5 linked regions of the Danio rerio genome follow. The protein of the gene in region 1 binds, or shares a complex with, the protein of each later gene. Links are inferred from orthologs where the notes say so. Each region holds a gene or a part of one and is shown on either strand. Other genes may lie near its edges.

The links.
Region 2: drc3 (region 1) and drc8 share a complex: the UniProt entries of both Homo sapiens proteins name them as parts of the nexin-dynein regulatory complex. The link is inferred for Danio rerio from reciprocal best matches to the Homo sapiens genes DRC3 and DRC8.
Region 3: drc3 (region 1) and ccdc135 share a complex: the UniProt entries of both Homo sapiens proteins name them as parts of the nexin-dynein regulatory complex. The link is inferred for Danio rerio from reciprocal best matches to the Homo sapiens genes DRC3 and DRC7.
Region 4: drc3 (region 1) and drc9 share a complex: the UniProt entries of both Homo sapiens proteins name them as parts of the nexin-dynein regulatory complex. The link is inferred for Danio rerio from reciprocal best matches to the Homo sapiens genes DRC3 and DRC9.
Region 5: drc3 (region 1) and fbxl13 share a complex: the UniProt entries of both Homo sapiens proteins name them as parts of the nexin-dynein regulatory complex. The link is inferred for Danio rerio from reciprocal best matches to the Homo sapiens genes DRC3 and FBXL13.

The regions. Positions count from the first base shown.
Region 1 is NC_133178.1:67,109,749-67,114,012, forward strand, and holds the start of drc3 (dynein regulatory complex subunit 3), read left to right. Parts: upstream 1-1,450; 5' UTR 1,451-1,525; intron 1,526-1,637; 5' UTR 1,638-1,642; coding exon 1,643-1,744; intron 1,745-4,264. UniProt on the Homo sapiens protein: Component of the nexin-dynein regulatory complex (N-DRC) a key regulator of ciliary/flagellar motility which maintains the alignment and integrity of the distal axoneme and regulates microtubule sliding in motile axonemes.
Region 2 is NC_133192.1:12,696,998-12,700,947, forward strand, and holds the start of drc8 (dynein regulatory complex protein 8), read left to right. Parts: upstream 1-1,145; 5' UTR 1,146-1,161; coding exon 1,162-1,183; intron 1,184-1,493; coding exon 1,494-1,578; intron 1,579-1,708; coding exon 1,709-1,781; intron 1,782-1,870; coding exon 1,871-1,950; intron 1,951-3,936; coding exon 3,937-3,950. UniProt on the Homo sapiens protein: Component of the nexin-dynein regulatory complex (N-DRC), a key regulator of ciliary/flagellar motility which maintains the alignment and integrity of the distal axoneme and regulates microtubule sliding in motile axonemes.
Region 3 is NC_133200.1:14,669,339-14,672,854, forward strand, and holds part of ccdc135 (dynein regulatory complex subunit 7), read left to right. Parts: coding exon 1-173; intron 174-260; coding exon 261-383; intron 384-1,612; coding exon 1,613-1,685; intron 1,686-1,770; coding exon 1,771-1,899; intron 1,900-2,016; coding exon 2,017-2,145; intron 2,146-2,224; coding exon 2,225-2,442; intron 2,443-2,691; coding exon 2,692-2,907; intron 2,908-3,426; coding exon 3,427-3,516. UniProt on the Homo sapiens protein: Component of the nexin-dynein regulatory complex (N-DRC) a key regulator of ciliary/flagellar motility which maintains the alignment and integrity of the distal axoneme and regulates microtubule sliding in motile axonemes.
Region 4 is NC_133193.1:29,299,075-29,302,590, reverse strand, and holds part of drc9 (dynein regulatory complex protein 9), read left to right. Parts: intron 1-944; coding exon 945-1,096; coding exon of another isoform or gene 1,097-1,100; intron 1,101-1,168; coding exon 1,169-1,297; intron 1,298-3,516. UniProt on the Homo sapiens protein: Component of the nexin-dynein regulatory complex (N-DRC), a key regulator of ciliary/flagellar motility which maintains the alignment and integrity of the distal axoneme and regulates microtubule sliding in motile axonemes.
Region 5 is NC_133200.1:19,757,535-19,761,050, reverse strand, and holds part of fbxl13 (F-box and leucine-rich repeat protein 13), read left to right. Parts: intron 1-58; coding exon 59-168; intron 169-247; coding exon 248-346; intron 347-428; coding exon 429-524; intron 525-2,003; coding exon 2,004-2,279; intron 2,280-2,374; coding exon 2,375-2,475; intron 2,476-2,556; coding exon of another isoform or gene 2,557-2,559; coding exon 2,560-2,689; intron 2,690-2,966; coding exon 2,967-3,065; intron 3,066-3,516. UniProt on the Homo sapiens protein: Substrate-recognition component of the SCF (SKP1-CUL1-F-box protein)-type E3 ubiquitin ligase complex.

The sequences.
Region 1 (4,264 bases):
TCTTCCTGAATCTAAACCATCTTTTAATAAACCCTTTATTGTGAAATCCTGGTATCCTAAACTATGCAATTCCTCTTTAAGGTTTCTTCTTTCATTTTTATATGCTTTGCACCTTTTTAAAACATGTTCTACTGTCTCATCTATTAGACATGTGTTGCATAAACCTGTCTCATGTTTCCCCATTATGTGTAATGTTTGATTTAAAAATGTATGTCCTGTTCTTAAACGTGTTAAAATAACTTGTTCTCTTCGACTAAGATTATGTGATATTTTGCTTTTCTTTACTGTTTTTTGGATCTTATGATAATGTCTCCCTGTGTTATTGGACTCCCAAACTTTCTGCCATTTCCTATTACAAGCTTCTAACTCTGATTGGTTTACACACGCGGAACTTTTAATCCATTGATCAATATCGCTGTCAATCACGTGAAAAGTCTGATTTCCTTCCTTATTTTGTTCATATAAGCGTTACTTCTAAATGATCGGATTTCTTTTGTACACAAATATAACATGTTTATAATTTAGATATGTATTAGATACATATTTTATATTTTGGTTTGTTTATTTTATTTTATTTTTTATTTTTACGTATGTGTTACTCCTTAATGTAGGGATTTCTTATCTTCTTTTAAATGTATGTGTCAGAAACTCATATATATATATATATATATATATATATATATATATATATATATATATATATATATATATATATATATATATATATATATATATGTGTGTGTGTGTGTGTGTGTGTGTGTGTGTGTGTGTGTGTGTGTGTGTGTGTGTGTGTTTCAGAAACTAAACTGTACCATGAATATTCATGAGTATTCATCCAAGTCACGTAACATTAGTGCAAATGACAGGTTTTATCTATCCCCCAATATTTGTGCTCTGTTCTTTAAATGTTGATGAACGTGTTTATTTTAATTTTGCCTTGTATGTACTTATATGTGCAATAAAAAAAATTTTTATATAAATTTTAAAAATAAAAAAATTAAGTAATCTTGTTTAGCGATGTTAATGTATTTTGTTTTGTGACGTCAACAACCGAGAGGTGAAGTCTAGAAGGGATACAGCTGCGGACACTCACGTCAATGCAGCTTCGTTTTTGTGACATTGACATCAATAATTCATATTTTTACATTACTGTGAGGCTTGGGGTATTGATAGACGTTATAAAGAATCATCTTATATGTGATTATATGAATAATAAACGTTTAATTACTGTTTTAACATTACTGTGAGGGTTGTTTTTAGGGTAAGGGTAGGGGTAGATGTTAAAAAATACCACCTTATGGATGATTTTATACATAATATGATATTGGGGTGTGGGTTTAATAAAATACAATTGAATGGGTCACTTAGTTATTCATATGAATTAACATCTAGTCGCAGCTGTATCCCCTCTAACATCAACTGATTCTCCAAAATATTCCGGATGTTGTTGGTTGGTTGCTTAGCGCCGGTGTTAGCGTCGTGCAGCCGTCGTGTGCTACAGTTACAGAGCGCTATTTCCAGACAGGTCTGTAATCAATCAGATATAGGAACATGTGAGTGATATTGTATGCAGCTGTTTTCATACACTTGATGCCGTGTTATTGATCCGCTGTCTATCGCTAATCTCCGCCTGTCAGGGCGTATGATGAGCGGCCAGCAGGAGAAGCCCGGAGTCATCGACGAGCAGATGCTGCAGCGCGCGGTGGAGGAGCAGCAGACCAGAAACACAGAGGGGATACCAGAGGTGGGACCAAGTCATTGTTTGGCAAGTCACAAGTAAGTCTCAATTCATTGCCCTCAAGTCCCGAGTCAAGTCCCGAGTCAAGACAGGCAAGTCCCGAGTCAAGTCCCAAGTCAAAGGCAACAAGTCTCAAGTCAAGTCCAAAGTCCTATAGTTTGATTTTCGAGTCTTTTCGAGTCTTTTTAACAGAAAAATAAAATTTTAACAGATTATGTATGGCTGTAAGATCTGTATTTATTAAACATGATGAAAGAACATTGCTTAGATATATAAAAACACAAATGTAATGTTCTAAAAAAGTGCTAAACAGTGCTGCGTCTCGTCTACACAGCCTATTGCACAAGAATGAGTTCCACCAAAAAAAGAGTCCATTTTGCCTCACATCACACAGAAATTGCAGGTCTACTGCTGTCTAGTTCATTAGTTTAGTTGTGCTATGTTATGTCTTCAGTGATCAACTTGTGATTAACTAAAACTACATAAACAACCTCAATGAGGCAGCAGTAGACCAACAACTCCTGTATGCTGCAAAGTAAAATTGAGTGAAATTGGTATTTTGTCAATTGAATCTCGTGTGTGCTGAAGAGATGGAGATGCAAATCTGTCTAGCAGCAATGTAAAATGGTAGCACATATTCTAAATGAAGTAGGCTACTTCATACAAACAATAACGTTGTTTTCTTCACATAACAATGAAGAACTTTGCTCTCTACCTTGTGTGATGCTCGTGCACCGATTTCCTCTGTGGACAAAACTGCTTGCGAGCTCTCAAATATACGCTGCTCACGCGCAAATTTTCTCGCTCTCAAATATGCACTGCTCACGCACACATTTTCCTGCGCGCTCTCAGAGATTATATATAGAATTTGTGTCTTGTGTTTCCTCTTCCTTTTGTGCTTTTTGATATGATTTATATTGAGGCACTATTTATTAACAATAACCAAAATACTAAAATAGACTTACATATTCAATTTTTTATCTAATAAACCATAACATTTTGGCTGTATGTTTTATGATGAGATATTTCCAGTTTCAAACACTTAAAGACACAGAGAATAGAGGTTGGATGTAAAGAATGCATTTTGTTTTACAAACATTTATTAAACATTCAAAAGGTTCACCATACTAATCAAATAAAAAACATTTAAACAAAAATATAACTAACGCAAGCAGAAATGTAACTGTGATAAAAATAAAGAAAAACTTGATTTGGCATTATAGCCTACTGTACTATTCACTCTTTAAATAAATCCCACTATCAATCCCATTTTATCATGGCAACTAAAATAAAGTGAACACGTCTCTGCTGTCTTCCACATTATTGATGAGATTGTGGAGGACATTTTCCATGTCATCCTCTTCATTTTGAGGAAAAGCTGTTCCACAGGGCCCCTGAACACATCTATTGGCATGGACAGGGTTTTGAACAGTACTATAGTAAAGTACTTTAATTAATCTGTTGGGGTAATATTATAGTTGCTATGGTAACCCAAGTGTAATATAAACAAATGACCCAGTGCTGTAGTTTTTTTTACAGTATAGGGTATATTATACTACAATTCACCACACTTTACTGTAGTAAAACTACACTCTGTATTTCATTTTATTAGTTCATTATTCTTAATACTACAGTATGCTGAAGCATTCATTAACAACTTGTAAATAATACTAGGCTTAAACATAGGCAGTATACCTAACTCTCAAAAACACTAGTATTTATTATAGAATTTACCTTAACCTCATAGTTTTTCATGTATTGTTACTAAATAGTTTAGCAATATATAAACCATATCAACATTCTGGAATAATCAATTTATCAGGAGGATCTCTGGAGAGCAAAAGCAGGAAAATTATGAAGCGCCAGTGTGGACAAAACTCAAGCAAACGCAGAGAGACTGAATACGCGCGTGAGAGACCAGCAAATCAGATTGAAGTACCTGCCCACTGGTGAAAGTAATGTCAGAGCCAATCAGATTTTTCTTTCTTTTCATAAAGAACGGGGTTCGAATCCCCCTACTGAAAAAACAGCTTAAACCAGCCTAGGCTGGTTGGCTGGTTTTAGAGGGGTTTTGGTCATTTCCAGGCTGATTTCCAGCCATTTCCAGCCTGGTCTTAGCTGGTCAGGCTGGGAGATGACCAGCTAAAACCAGCTATGTCCAGCTTAAACCAGGCTGGTCAAGCTGGTTTTAGCTGGATTTTGCTGGTCAGTTTCCAGCCTGACCAGCTAAGACCAGGCTGGAAATGGCTGGAAACCAGCCTGGAAATGACCAAAACCCCTCTAAAACCAGCCTGGTCGACCAGCTTAAACCAGTTTACCAGCTTAGGCTGGTTTAAGCTGGATTTTTCTGCAGGGATATTGCTATGTTTAACCATTTATTAGAGCCACAAAATATCTAAAACTTGTTTTCATGTTTGAATAGCCAATAAATGTGATAAATAAATTAAAATAGAAATACCCACAGTGAAACAGTTATATAAATTTAAATATTAGTTTAAATACATTCATAATGGTTTTAAATATCTT
Region 2 (3,950 bases), on another chromosome or scaffold:
TTCTATGCTCTTCTGTGTCTGACTGTTGTGATGTTTTGCTTTGTTTTTCAGCTGAGATTTTGAGCAAAGAAGGACTATTGAAGACAACAGTTGAAGACAACCGCGGGTTATAATCACGAGCGCGCGCATTATAATGTTTTCGGGCTGTTTTCTGAAAGTGTGTCTTTGTTTAGATAAGTTTGCATGTCAAACTAAATAAACTATACTCTTTCTAAACACCTGTCTCGTTTTATTTGTCCTCTACAGCAATGCACTGTCATATAGGTCTGTTGAATGCATTTGTATGCAACATGGTTTGACAATACAGTAGTCTAACAAATAAATAGTTGTTATAAATGTACCTTCATTAGTCAACATTTGATGTTATGTTATGATTGTTATACTATATTTATTATTATTAATATGCTGTATGTTTAAAACCAGCAAATTATACTATATATTTAACATGTCATAAACTTACTGTTATTTTAACATTTGCCAAATAAAATGTCCTAAGACAAGAATGGGTGTTGTTTTGGTTTTGTGTCAACCTACTGTAGGTTTTAGGTTGACTACAGCAAGGCTACATACATCATAGGGAGTTTTTTTATAACGGAATAAATATTTCACGGAGATGATTTTACTGCGTGAGAAAACTGATGTGTGGCGTGAGAGCGTGAGAATACGGTCAATTGCGTGACTTTCACGCATTTTGGCAACTCTGAAATATTAGTGTTTGGACTATGTGATTATTTATTACTATAGCAGGTACTATTTAGCCTATATATTCTCCTGGATTGTATAAGTGCTTCTGATTTTTATTTAACACTGACATATTTATACACATAGGTAATTTAGACATGTACTCTTTATTGGTGCTTTCAAACGAATAATCGCGTTCATGCTTGTACAAAGGATGTATAAAAATGTTCCTTACATTCTTCCTTTTCTTCTGTTTTTTTAGTCAGTACTGAACTTTCCCCTTTTGTGAGCAAAAACTTTTGCTAGTCTATAAAAGATGTTCGGCATTTCTTATTTTGGTCGATTTAAACAATCATAAACAGCATAAACAGAAACATTTTTTTAAACTTCTGAAAGCGGTTCCTACGTAGAAGAACCACTTCCTGCCCTCCGTCTGAATGGCGAGTGTGTTCAGGTTACCTAGCAACCAGGGTTTTAGACATGGCGGACAAGTATAATGCAGGTAAAGATGCTACACGTAAAATGCTACGCTTTTTTTACGTTTGTGGGCTTACTGTATGCTTATTAATGGTGTTTGTATTCTCAGCATGACGTGTTTTTAAATACAGTTGCCATTACTACGACTGTTACCAGATCAATGATGTTTGAAAAGTTTTCAGTAACGTTGTTTGTTAACGTCGAGTAGTTAAAGTAACAGTAAAAGACCACACAGACAGCGAACATCTACAGCTGAATTGCTTTGTAAACACACACACACAAAATAAAATAAAAATGCGGAAAAACACAACGTTAATTAATGTATTTTTTATCAGAAAATATTATAATAGAAACTCAAAAGAGGATTGGGAATGCCTTTGATGTATTTGACCATGAATCCAACAAGACTGTTGATGTCAGGTAACGTTTCACTACGCTGTTTTTCAAAATATATTAGACCATTTGTTGATGTCTGTTAGCTTTGTTCTGCACATGTTCTACAAACAAGGAAGACTTCTTTAATGTTATCTGTCATTTTTCACCGTAAAAGGGAAATAGGCACCATCATTCGTTCACTTGGCTGTTTTCCTTCAGAAGCTGAATTGCATGATATCATCTCTGAGGTCAGTGGTTTTGTTTTGCCGGGTCATAAAATGCATCGCTCTTGTAAGTTGAGTAGATCAATAGTTATGAAGTGTCATTTCATTCACAGCTAGAAGAAGAAGAACCCACTGGATTTGTGCGCTATGAGAAGTTTCTTCCAACTATGACTAAGATCCTGCTGGAGCGCAAGTAAGACTGTAATGAAATAAAACAGTATGAAACCCAGATTATTCTTAATGTTTTTAAAAGGTCACAGACTGATAAATCACACAAATGCATCTATATATTTATATACAGTCTAACTCAAAATTATTAGCTGTCCTGTAAATAATTTTTTCTTACTCAGTTATTTTTAAATTGATATTCAACAGAGCAAGGATTTTTTTTTTCTTCTAGCAAAAGTCTTATTTGTTTTATTTTGGCTAAAATAATGGTCTTTAATAAAAAAAAAACATTTTAAGGTCAATATTATTAGCCCCCTTTAGCAATATTTATTTTCGATTATCTAGAAAACAAACCATTATTATACAATGACTTGCCTAAATACCCTAACCTGCCTAATTACCTTAATTAATGTAGTTAAGCCTTTAAATGTCACGTTAAGTTGAATACTAGTATGTTGAAAATCATCATCATGGCAAAGATAAAATAAATCAGTTTGATGTGTCAAATGAGTTATTATAACTATTATGTTTAGAAATGTGTTGAAAAAATTCTTTTCGTTACAGAAATTGGGGAAAACATTTACAACGGGGCTAATAGTTCAGGAGGGCTAATTATTCTGATTTCAACTGTACATGGATATATAGTGCTAGAAGATGAAGCCAAAATGTCCAAGGTATCAACTTGCACGGATCGTATAATTCCCACAGTTCCTACACACCCAATTGCAAGCACATAATGGCATGCATCCAAATAAAAGCAAACTTATTAAAAAATGTTCCGTATATACATCAACAATTGATGTAACGAGAAAACAAGGCGACACAGTGGCGCAGTGGGTAGCACTGTCAGCAAGAAGGTCATTGTTTAAAGCTCTGGCTGGGTCAGTTGGCATTTTTGTGTGGAGTTTGCATGTTTTCCCTGTATTGGCGTGGGTTTCCTCCTAGTGCTCCGGTTTCCCGCACAGTCCGAAGACATGTGGTATAGGTGAATTGAATGAACTAAATTGGCCGTAGTGTATGTGTGTGAATGAGTGTGTGTGGATGTTTCTCAGCACTGGGTTGCAGCTGGAAGGGCATCCGCTGCATTAAACACATCCTGGATAAGTTGGCGGTTCATTCTGCTGTGGCGATAAAAAATAAAGGGACTTAGCCGAAAAGAATGAATAAATAAGAAAACATTAATTAAACGCTTACCTTCTCTTCGATAACATTGAGGGAGCAGGGCTTTTTAAAATGTTCTGCAATCAATGACCAGAGAGCAATGGAAATATTTGGATTTCCCTTTTTCTATATTTGGCCTGTGTGAGCCAAAATCTCACTAATAAAATGTGTTGTCGTGTCTAAAGCAGACAAATGTTTTGCCTCTACATGTAGATGTGCTGGGGGTGGATTTAAACAATATGCAAGTTAATCGGCCGCTCAGGGCCCCAGTTAATCTGAGGGCTCCCAAATAAATACCTAGAATTATAAATTATACATATAAATATTATATATAACATTGCTTTCTATCATATTTTCCCCTACCTTCAATCATGGACCAGTTCAGCTGTCAAATCAGTAAAGATTTAGTTTTAAAAAACGAAATTGTTTATTTATAGTGAATTTATCTTAAGAAAACAAATGATTTAAAAAGTTTTATAAGGTGCTTTACATGTTATTATTATTTTGCATTAAGATAAAATGTAGAAAAGGAGATTGATTGATATAAGAAATAACAGCAAAATAATAATAAAAAAATTAAAGTACAAAAGGTGCCTTTTAGAACTTTTGGGTCTAATGGCTGGAACAGCTTAGGGCCCCAAAATCACTAAATCCATCCCTGAGACGTACAGTATATGACTATAAGTGTTTTAACATAATTTGCAGTACCTGTAAAAACTTAAAACTAAAATAAAATAAACATTTGATTAAATAAATATTTACTTTGCTAAAGTTTTTCCCACAATAAAATTTAATACAAAGCCTAGTATTAGTGATAATTGTAGCTCTGCTTCTTTCTTTTTTCTTGCAGGTTTCGTCCTATTA
Region 3 (3,516 bases), on another chromosome or scaffold:
ACAGCTGGGTTCTGGTGCTCTCGGGAAGCCGTGAGATACCTGAAAACTTCTTTATTGACCCTCTCACAGGAAAGGGTTATTCGACCACCAATGAGAACTTTGTGGGTATTGAGAGCATCTGGAACCACCAAAACTACTGGGTCAACAAGCAAGACTGCTCTTTCGGTTGTGGGGTCAGTAACTCTTAGCGTAGATGTGACATTGTTTTGGGTGAAGATGACAAGCTTTGTAAAGGTTATCGTGTCTGTTTGTGTTTGCAGAGTATGACGTTTGACTTGGGTGATCTATCAAAGTGGGAGTACATGCTGTGTGGACTTACTAGCCAATCCATATCAATGATTTCAGAACAAAAATCACCCCGAGAGCCGGAAGACGAGGAGGAAGTACAGAAAGACTGTTCATTATTTTTTTTTCTATTTAAATTTAATGCCACTGTAATGTGGCTAGCTAGTGAAAGCTGTGTAGATAGACCTTGATATTTCTCTTTCCCTAACAGAGACGCTAGAATTAAGGGGTTACGTTGGTGCCGTGACCCTGGTGGGAATGAGGTTTAGAGTAGGTAAATATAATGAGGGCCAGCTAGTAAGAGGTTTGTATGTACACCCCACTCAACTGCCATCAAGAGGTGCACTAGCAACAGATGCTATAGACTTTATGATTCTTGCAAGCACACCTGCCGCCCATATTATTTATTTCAGTTTAAATCCCACTTTGAGTAGTGCGAGTAGAACTGAAGGGTTACATTGGTTCCATGACCAGGGTGGGAATGAGGTTTAGGAGGGTGAGTGTAATAAAGGCCAGCTAGTTTGTGAGCCTGCCTCCAATACTGAAGACACTTATGCGAATAACACTCAAAGTGTGTGTCTGACGTGGGAGTGAGGTTTTGGGGGCGGGGGTGGGGATAGTGTAACAGAAGCCAGAATGTAACAGCTGTGTGGAGATCAGCTAATATAAACTGTATGACTAGGGCTGCGTTCCAGTCCAAGTTTTATTCCCTTGACTTGCTAACTTCCTACATCTCGTTGACCTGCATCTCTGTCCACTACTGCCAGAACATCTGAATTGGATTAAATGGAATGCCTTTGGGCACTTGGAAACTACACTGTTGTAACACCAATCACATTGCATTGTGAGACTTATGGGTGCTGGAGTGTGCATATGAAGCAAACTTGTTCCCTCGGGTCAAAATCAAGGGGTCATGAATCATGTCCATTTAAGCCAGTGGTCTCAAACTCAATTCCTGGAGGGCCGCAGCTCTGCATGGTTTCGCTCCAATCACTTCCAACTCACACCTGCTTAATAGTCTTTAGTAGTGTTGAAATCCTTGATTAGTTGGATCATCTGTGTTTGATTATAGTTGGAGCAAAACTGCAGACCTGCAGCCCTCTAGGAATCAAGTTTAAGACCTTGGATGTAAGCTTCCCTCATTTCCTTGAAGTGGAACTTCAAGTGGGGATTAGGGAATTTTACAATTACTGGTCTGCTTTAAATTCTGCTTAGAGATGTAAGTAGAACTTGAGGTGGGCCACAACATTATTGACTTAACTTACTGTACCAGTAGCAGACCGAATCTTTATCCAAAGTTATTAACCTACATTCCTATCTTCTAAAGGAGGAAATTGATGAGCTGAAAGCATTTGAAATGCCTACATCTTGGGTGACTAAAATAGACATTCCACCTCCAGGTGAAGCCCTCACTTTCTGTGTTTATCATCCATTTTCCAGAATTCCTAAGGATTATTTAATAAATCACATTCTGCTTTTTTGCAGATATGGAAATGCGTTATCCAGGGGGTTCGAAAATACTCCAGTACAGGAAAGCCAAGCTAGAGAAGTTTGCGCCATACCTTCTGAAAGACGGTCTGGTGACCAAACTTACCACTTATAAAGACCTTGAATGTAAGACCTTAAATGACTTCAGCAGATTTATTACTTTATTTGAAATCATGTAGAAATGATTGTTCACCCAAAAACGAGCAGTTAGTTAAATCAGACACACACTGTCACTTTCTTAAGGCACTCAACCCAACACTATAAAGGAATGGTTCAAACATCGAAGTGATCATCTTGAGGAGAGGGAGCTACACACAGACAGCAATGTGACAACTGAGCATTTTAGACCTGGAAGAAGTGATGCTCTTAAATGTAATCAAACACACATTTAATTAGTTTCTGATGTCAAAACTTGCCTGAGCAAACGGTTTAAAATGTTACTTTTGCTTAGACCATAGGTACGTGACGTTAGTTCCTGAGACTGAGCGTCAGATGGACTTTTATGGTCATACTTGCACCGATGGACTAGCCAGACGAATTGAGAAGCAATCTGAAATGACTGAAACCTTTGAAGACCGGACTGACTTCCTCTATTATCGTCATATTGTTTATGGAAAACAAATTAAAGTGATTCGGGCTGGAGAGGCTCTTAATCAAAGGCCTATAAAGGTAGTGTACGAGCTAAACAAGCTTGACCTTTAAATTTCAAGCAGTTTAACCCAGTGTTACTTTAGAATCTTAGAATTCTTGGTTGATCTTATTTATACCTGATCCCTTGTTTAGGCAGTTTTAAGACAGGACTACAAGTCAAAAATCAACAAAATATGTTAATCCAGGAGCACTGCTAGCGGTATTGTTTGCAATAACCGTCCCACAGATAGAACAAGTTATTTAATTCAATTCAAACGTCTCCAACAGAGTGTGGAGGAGCGGTTCCACAGAGATCCTTCTAAACCTGCAAGTAAAGATGTGGCTGAAAGGAACTTCAAGATGTCGGACGGAAAGATTCAGGTGACCTATCATCTAGAGGACGACAGGATCATCCCAGCATGGATGAACTTCATCAAACCAAAAGCAGCAGCAAACTCGCAGAAAGGACAAGATTTTTCTCCTGAGATGGTGTCTGGCTTTCAGGTCAGAAATTTCATTGGTTGAGTTCAAGATCAAGATATTTTTTTTATTTTATTTATGCTCCCCTGACATTAATAGATGCAGACCCTTTAGACTGTTTAACAGAAATATGTTCAATCAGTCACATGGCAGCAACTCAAATAGATCTTGTGTGTGTGTCTACTTACATTAGTGCATTGAAATCCAACACTTCAGAAACTGTATATTCAGTTCAAACTGGTAATGGTGTGTATAGAGGTGGTAAATATTTTCTTTTTGCAATTTGGGCCCTTTATTCACCAACAATATTCAGGTCAACTGTGTGATTTAAACTAAACTCAATTGGTACCATCAATACCTTGAAATCGAGTGAGTGGTCTTTAAGCCTTTTCCTGGAGACCCTTTCCTACAGAGCTACAACCTTTATCAATAACACCTTATTAAGGCCTTCAAGATTATTTGGAAGTTAAAGGTGATAAGGGCCAGCGTTGAGAATCCCCAGTTTATAAATGGTTTAATAGATTGTTCATTTTGCATCTTCAGGTTGATCCTTTTGCAAAACCCTACAACGACTTGCAGCTTTACAAAATTCTTTTGGAACTGATGAGAGATGAGGAGAATGTTGAACTTCAA
Region 4 (3,516 bases), on another chromosome or scaffold:
GTGCTGAAGAACATCAACCCCCGCCAAGTGTGTTCATTTAAACGTTGGCTCTGAAATGTGTTCAGCTCTCATGCAAACTATTACTTTAATATGATTTTGACGCAGAAAGAAGTTTGACCTAGACAGGTTTCACAAGATTGATCCAGCTTACAGCAAATTTATTAGACAGCTCTTGTGTTGTAACTGGAGCTCAATGTCTTATTGAGACAAAATGGGGGTAAAAGTAATACTAGGTAATTGTAAACAGACATGTCCCAAACATGTTTTTGCTTTTTTATGGCACATTTTAAATACCGTCAGGCGTTTAACACATTAATTGTGTTAATATTGGGACATTAACACAATTCTCACATTTTTGGCTCTATACACAAATACAGTAGATTTGAAATGAAATTAACAAGATGTGTTTTAACTGCAGACTCATTCATTCATTTTCTTTTCAGCTTAGTCTCTTTATTAATCGCCACAGCGGAATGAACCCCCTTAACTTATCCAGGATATGTTTTATGCAGTGGATGCCCTTCCAGCTGCAACCGATCACTGGGAAAAACATACACACTCATTCACACACTTATACACTACAGAGAATTTAGCCTACCCAATTCACCTGTCCTGCAATTCTTAGGACTGTGGGGGGAACGATGCATGAATTACAACAGTTTGCATATGTGCCTCCTACTTGTTAGGGGACCAAAAGTAATGGGACAACTGGCTTATCAATTGTTTTATGGCCAGGTGTGTGTTATTCCCTCATTATCCCAATTACAGTGAGCTGATGAAAGGTCCAGAGTTCATTTCAAGTGTGCTATTTGCATATGGAATTTGTTGCTGTCAACTTTCATTGAATTTGAAATCCATTGTGTTGGTGTATAGAGCCAAAAATGTGTTAGAATTGTGTCGATGTCTTAATATTTATGGACCTGACTGTAACTCTCTTTATTTAGCAGCAAAGGACCGAACTGCATCTAAAAACAGCTCAACTGATGGCTGGAAGCAGTTTGTCAAATTTCTCAGGAGAACTCAAATCCCAAAAGCACTTCAAAATTCAGCAGACTCTGCTTGCTTCTGACAACCTGGCCAAAGTGCAGAAAGACAGGCAAGTACACAATTTTCTGATGTTTTGTAATTTTTAATAAGCCTTTATTCAATAAAATCTTTGTTCTTACAGGCAGTTTGTATCAGATGTGATCAATGCTTTATTGGAGGAGCTGCAGAAGAAAAACAATTTTCAGAGTCTCTTTTCTGCAGTGGCAGAGGAACGGAAGAAGAAAGCTGAGCTTCTTGACATAATAAACAGGTTTTAAGATGAACTGAAATACATAATGTAGCAGTATTGAGATGTGTGAAATTAAATTGAAACTTAAAAATAGGCTATGCAAGTATCTTTAGTGTGAATTTCTAAACCTGTAGTAACTTTACGCTGATTAATTACAACCAAAGAAAATAGATTTGAGTGACTCAGTAAACCTAACAATCCTAACACAGGTGCAAGCAATCATGAAAAGTGATATTTAAGATAGTCGATTGCTAGTTGTGCTTCTCCTTATTGTGAACCTAAAAGTAGCAACATGGGAACCTCAAAAAAACTTCCTAATGACCTAAAAACTAGGATCATTTATCATCATGAGTTAGGAGAAGAATGCAAAAAAGCTATCACAAAGGTTTAAAGTCTCTATCTCCACAGTCAGAAATATAGTAAGAAAATGGAAGGCCACAGGAACAGTTCTGGTGAATGAAAGATGTGCTAGACCAAGAAATATATCTGAAAGGCAAAGGCAAAGAATGGTTAGAATGATCACAGATAAACCACAGACCACCTCCAAAGAGCTCCAGGAACATCTTACTGCTAATAATGTCATTGTACATCGTTCCACAGTTCAGCGCACTCTTCCCAAAGAACAGCTCTATGGAAGGTGATGCAGAAGAAGACTTTTCTGCATTCTGCTAACGAGAAGAGTTGTTTGAGGCATGAAAAGGCTCATCTGGACAAACCTGGATCATTTTGGAAAAACTTAATGTGGTCAGATGCCACAACCATAGGTGTCAGGGTTCTGCCACTCTGGTCTTGTCCTGAGTCTGGACACTAGCTCTGTCTTGTTCTGTTGTGCTCGGCTCAAGTTTTCTCGGGTCGAGCACTTGTTTTCTGTCATTATGTGTGTCTCTGGGAGCATCAATCTCGTCGTAGCATCAAGCGGGAGCGCGGCAACTGTGCGTGCTTGGGACGCTCACTCTTGTACTTGTGTTTGTGTTTCATTCTCAGCGTCTCAATCTGGTTGGTTTTGGTTTCAGTTGGCGCTAAGATGAAACATTCGCGTTGTTTATGTGTAAGCGCCAGATAAGGTGTTTTAGTTTATTGTGTGCTTTTGTCTTGCGTCTATGTTTGTGTTGTCCAAGCACGTGGCTCTGTGTTTATATTGTGGCCACATGCTTCAGTCTTGTCCTTTATTGTGAATGCAAAGTTAATGAGTTCCTTCATTGGCTGCGTGTTCTAGTCTCGTTTTACGTGAGCACATGGCTTGTGTTGTCTCTTTGTGTCATGTGCTTTCCCGTCTATTGTCTAGTCTAGTGTGTTAATTTACTTCTGTTTATATTCTTCTCATGTTGTTCCAGTCCTGAGTGTTACAGTCCTGATCCCTGCCAGCCTTCCCATCCTAGTTAGTTTTGATTGTTTATTTATTTTATTAATGTTTTCTCCTTTGAAATGAATGTTTGTTTCATATTAAAATAAATAATTTTGTCTACAATTTTGTCCTCGCTCCCTCATCCTTCCCGAACCGTGACAGTACTAACTGCCCAAAATGAGGACCTAGCAGATCAAGCAGAATGACTCCTTCTTTAGCCACATGTCACAGCTTCTCAGTCTGCATGGGCTGCAGTAACATGGTGTGGACTTGTAGGAGTTTGCGGAGAGGTTCCAAATGGCAGCGGAGGGGCTTAAATTTAATGACTGGGCTCTTTTAAACCTCCTGAACTTTGCTCTTGATAAGCCCCTATATCCTCTCCAGATACAGAGATTGGTGGGTTACTCGTATTAACAGTTTAGACCACATGGTACTTCGAGAGGCTCATGAAAGTCTTCAGGAGAGAATCTGGTCTGTCATTCCATCTACAGACCCACATGAACCCAGCTCCCTGCTGCCTCCCACTGAGAAGAAATTGAGGAGAAGAAAAAGATCTTCCTCACTCGTTACCCCTCCAGTGGTGACTGAACCTGCTGCAGCCCATCCATCTTCATCTGCAGCATCACCCACTAAGGCACCTGCAACAGACTTCACCAGTCCTGCAGACAGTGAAGCATACTGCAGTGTTGGAAGGGGTGGCCAGCTTTCCGTCACAAAAAATAAGGAAGCGTAGTAGGAAAAAGGGCTCCTCTACCACAATGGCTCCAGCCCCAGAGCGCCCGCCAATGTCTGCTCCAGCCCCAGAGCACCTGCCAGTGTCGGCTCCAGCCCCAGAGCACCTGCCAGTGTCTGCACCAGCCCCAAAGAGGCTATCTTTATGAATTCCCTCATTGGC
Region 5 (3,516 bases), on another chromosome or scaffold:
GTTATTATTTCTGTTCTCTCTATATATCATGAAACAAGGCATTCTTTAATTTATCTAGATGCAGAGAGGAAACTACAGAAGGTTCAAGAGTCTGTACACTGCAGAAAAATCATCACGGCTTGGCGTCATGTTGTGCAGGACGCTAAAAGAACAAAGGAATACTTTAAGGTATAATTATTAAAACAATCAGCTAAACCCAAATGCATTGAATTCATGAGATATTCAGCTATTATACATGTCTGTTCAGAAACTAGAAAGAGATATGAAGGAAAGCCAGAACTCAGGCATACCACAGGGTGATGGACAGGACAATCTGTCACTGCTGCCCAACAGGCTGTTTCTCAAGGTATCATTTGACTACCACTAACTGTTAAATAACTGGCAAAAACGTACAATCAGCTGTGATTGAAATGAACCGTTTGGTGCAGATCTTCCAAAGTCTAGGTGTGCGAGACCTGCTGAAATGTGCTCAGGTTTGTCAATCATGGAAAGCAATCACTCAAATCAGCTCACTGTGGACTGAGGTTAGTGCAGCTGACCTAAAAACTGTCAAATTTTCCCTTTAGAATTTAGAAGTGCATGTTTAATATTTGTATACATAAAATCTTTAAGAATATAGTAAAAGTATATAAGAAAATCAACAGATTTGCCCTTTTTTAAACACAATGATGTTATATTAATAATTATATTAAAGCATATTGTGTACTTGCACTTGAAAGTGTTGTTTCATTTGTGACAATGCATGAAAATATAAGATGCTCATTAAATACAAGGCAGATTCAATGAAATGTCAGTTAGTAATGCTTTAACATCACCCTCATTGAACCCTCATGTTCCAAATTTAAATTACCTTCTTATGTGGAATTAAGGTAAAAGCTAACAAGATTTATTTCCCATTGAACTCACAGACAAAAAATATTATATCAATTGGAAATCAAAATGAGGAAATTTTTATGGTAAAACTTAATGTTGTCTTGACAAAGATTTCTAAATTTTTATGTTGTTAGATGTTAGAGAAATTATTAACATGAATTAGTATGTTTGTAACATGATTTAGCATGTTGTTTATTTTATAACAAGCACTATTACTGTATGTTGCTAGCTAGACTTTTGTTTGTGTGCCTCTCACATGAATTAGCATGTTGCTCGCATATTTCAAACAACAATCTACATGTTTCAAACTTAAATATATGTATCTAACATGAACTGGCATATCTTGTTGTTAGCAATTAGCATGCTGTTACCATGTTTATAATTTAAAATACCATCTTTCTAATATGAATAAAAAGTATTAGTATGTTAACTATGCTTTATTAGTGAATTTGCATTTATGCTTCTAACAATAAGCTAGCTGCTAATGTAAATTCCACTATACTGTTAGCACAAATTAATTTCAAGCATAAAGTTGATAGCAAATAACATGTCTCCAGCATAAATTACAGTGTTATCCAGCAAGCATGTTTCTTGCATGGTTAGCACGTTGTATGCTAGTTGATAGGCTTTTCTAGTTTGCAAGTAGCTTAAGATCTGAAAGTTAAAGCCTGGCAATGAAAGTCTTTGGGATTTCTTTATTTTGAGGATCATTTAGAAGTTATATTGCATAAACATGTTGATCAGAATGACTGTCTAATGTGAGTTTGGTAGTTTAAGCTTCAAGTTTTAGGAATACTTTAAGACCAGACTTTTATAAATGTTAACTCAGAAGAAGACGAATCAAAAACTATCCTGTAATCGATTTTTTGACGTGTTTTTATGCAAATGTAAGATGTCAATTTGATGTTGTTTTGACAATAAGGTACTTTACTGTACATGCATTGTAAGGATACAATCTACAATCTACAATATAATCCAGTGTAATCATCAGTGTGTAGATGTCAAATGGACGCATTAGCATTGTTGCTGAGTTTTTTAAAATGTTGTTTATGTCGTTTTGACATAGTGTCGTTTGCTAAGTGTGCTAAAGGCTTCATATACAGTGTAACCTGTGAGATGTATTTCCACAGATTGATTTCTCTCCAGAGAGCAGCTGGATCACAGATCAGATGGTGGAGAGAATCCTGCGGCTTCACCGTGTTTATGTGATCTCTGTAAACCTGTGTGGTTGCAACATGGTGCAAAGACTAAGTTTCAGACGCATCAGTACATTTACCTTCATTTACCAAACAACTGCATTTATTTTCTGCTTTGTTAACCTCATAAAGATACAGAATACTTTTGTTTTTAAAGGTCAATGCAGGAATCTTCAAGAACTGGATCTCAGTGAATGTCCAACTGTTAATGCAAGTATACAGTTCATAGTCTTAGGAGTTTTCTGCTTATTTAATTTTCGGCTCTTCAAAACTGGCGTGTGTTTTGTTTGAAAACACACTGACAGGATGAAAATATGAAGATGATTTTAGAGGGATGTCAGTCTCTCCTCAGTCTTAATCTGGCCTGCACTCACATTGCCAACGCCACAATAAAAGTCCTGGCAAGGTACAAAAGTCTTATGTTTCTCAGATCTTCAGACTGTACTCAACAATGACTGAAGTTTTTTTCTGTACTGAATGTTTTTAGTAGATGCTGTGTGATGCTGCGGTCTCTGAATCTGGCATATTGCATTCATTTCTCTGATAAAGACCTGCAGTATCTGACCACAGGGACGGGTTGTCGCAGACTCCGCCATCTTAACCTCTCCGGTTGCTCCCAGGTTAGTTTTGACTTGCAAACTATTCTACTGTATCATTTAAAAAAAGTATCTTAGGCTTTCTATTAGTTGGTGTTATTGGTTATATGATGCAAATATACAATATATTTAATTTACTACTACATGATTATAAATAAAGGTACCCAAAAGTTAGTTTTTCAAAGTTATGTCATGTCCTCTAAGAAATACTTAGTTAGTCAATCCTATTTTTATTACACATTTAACTACTCTTGACTTTATCCCAGAGTGATCAAATACAGTTTTCATTTTGTACTTTTAGATAACTGTGGATGGATTTACATGTGTTGCAGAGACTTGCAATTCACTTCAACAGATTGTGTTGAATGATCTTCCCACCTTAACTGACATCTGTGTGCAGGTAAGTGTTATTTATTGTGGCCCGAGAGAGCTTAACGTGCTGCAACCTAAGAAGACACATGCGAATAGAAAAAAATAAATAAATAAATACCGGCAAATTAGGAAAACATCTTAGTCGGTTTGACACACATTGCAAAGCCTCACTACAGAAACATAAATTAATATTGTACTGCAAATCCTCACAATGCAAACACAAATAGATAAACACGCTGTAAATTGACAGAACAAAGATCAAGGTCCATAATAAAATTCATAAACATTACAACATTTGTAAAACACCTGTGAATTACAAAATTCGGACACCAGATAAATAACAGATATTTGTTTTGTAGTGTCAGACAAAATTATATAAAAATATTCAACTCAGTGATCTTAAATAAGCTTTTGCCACAAATATTCTAGCGGTACTATTAATTTCACTTTAAAATACCTAAAGTAACACTATTTTATAT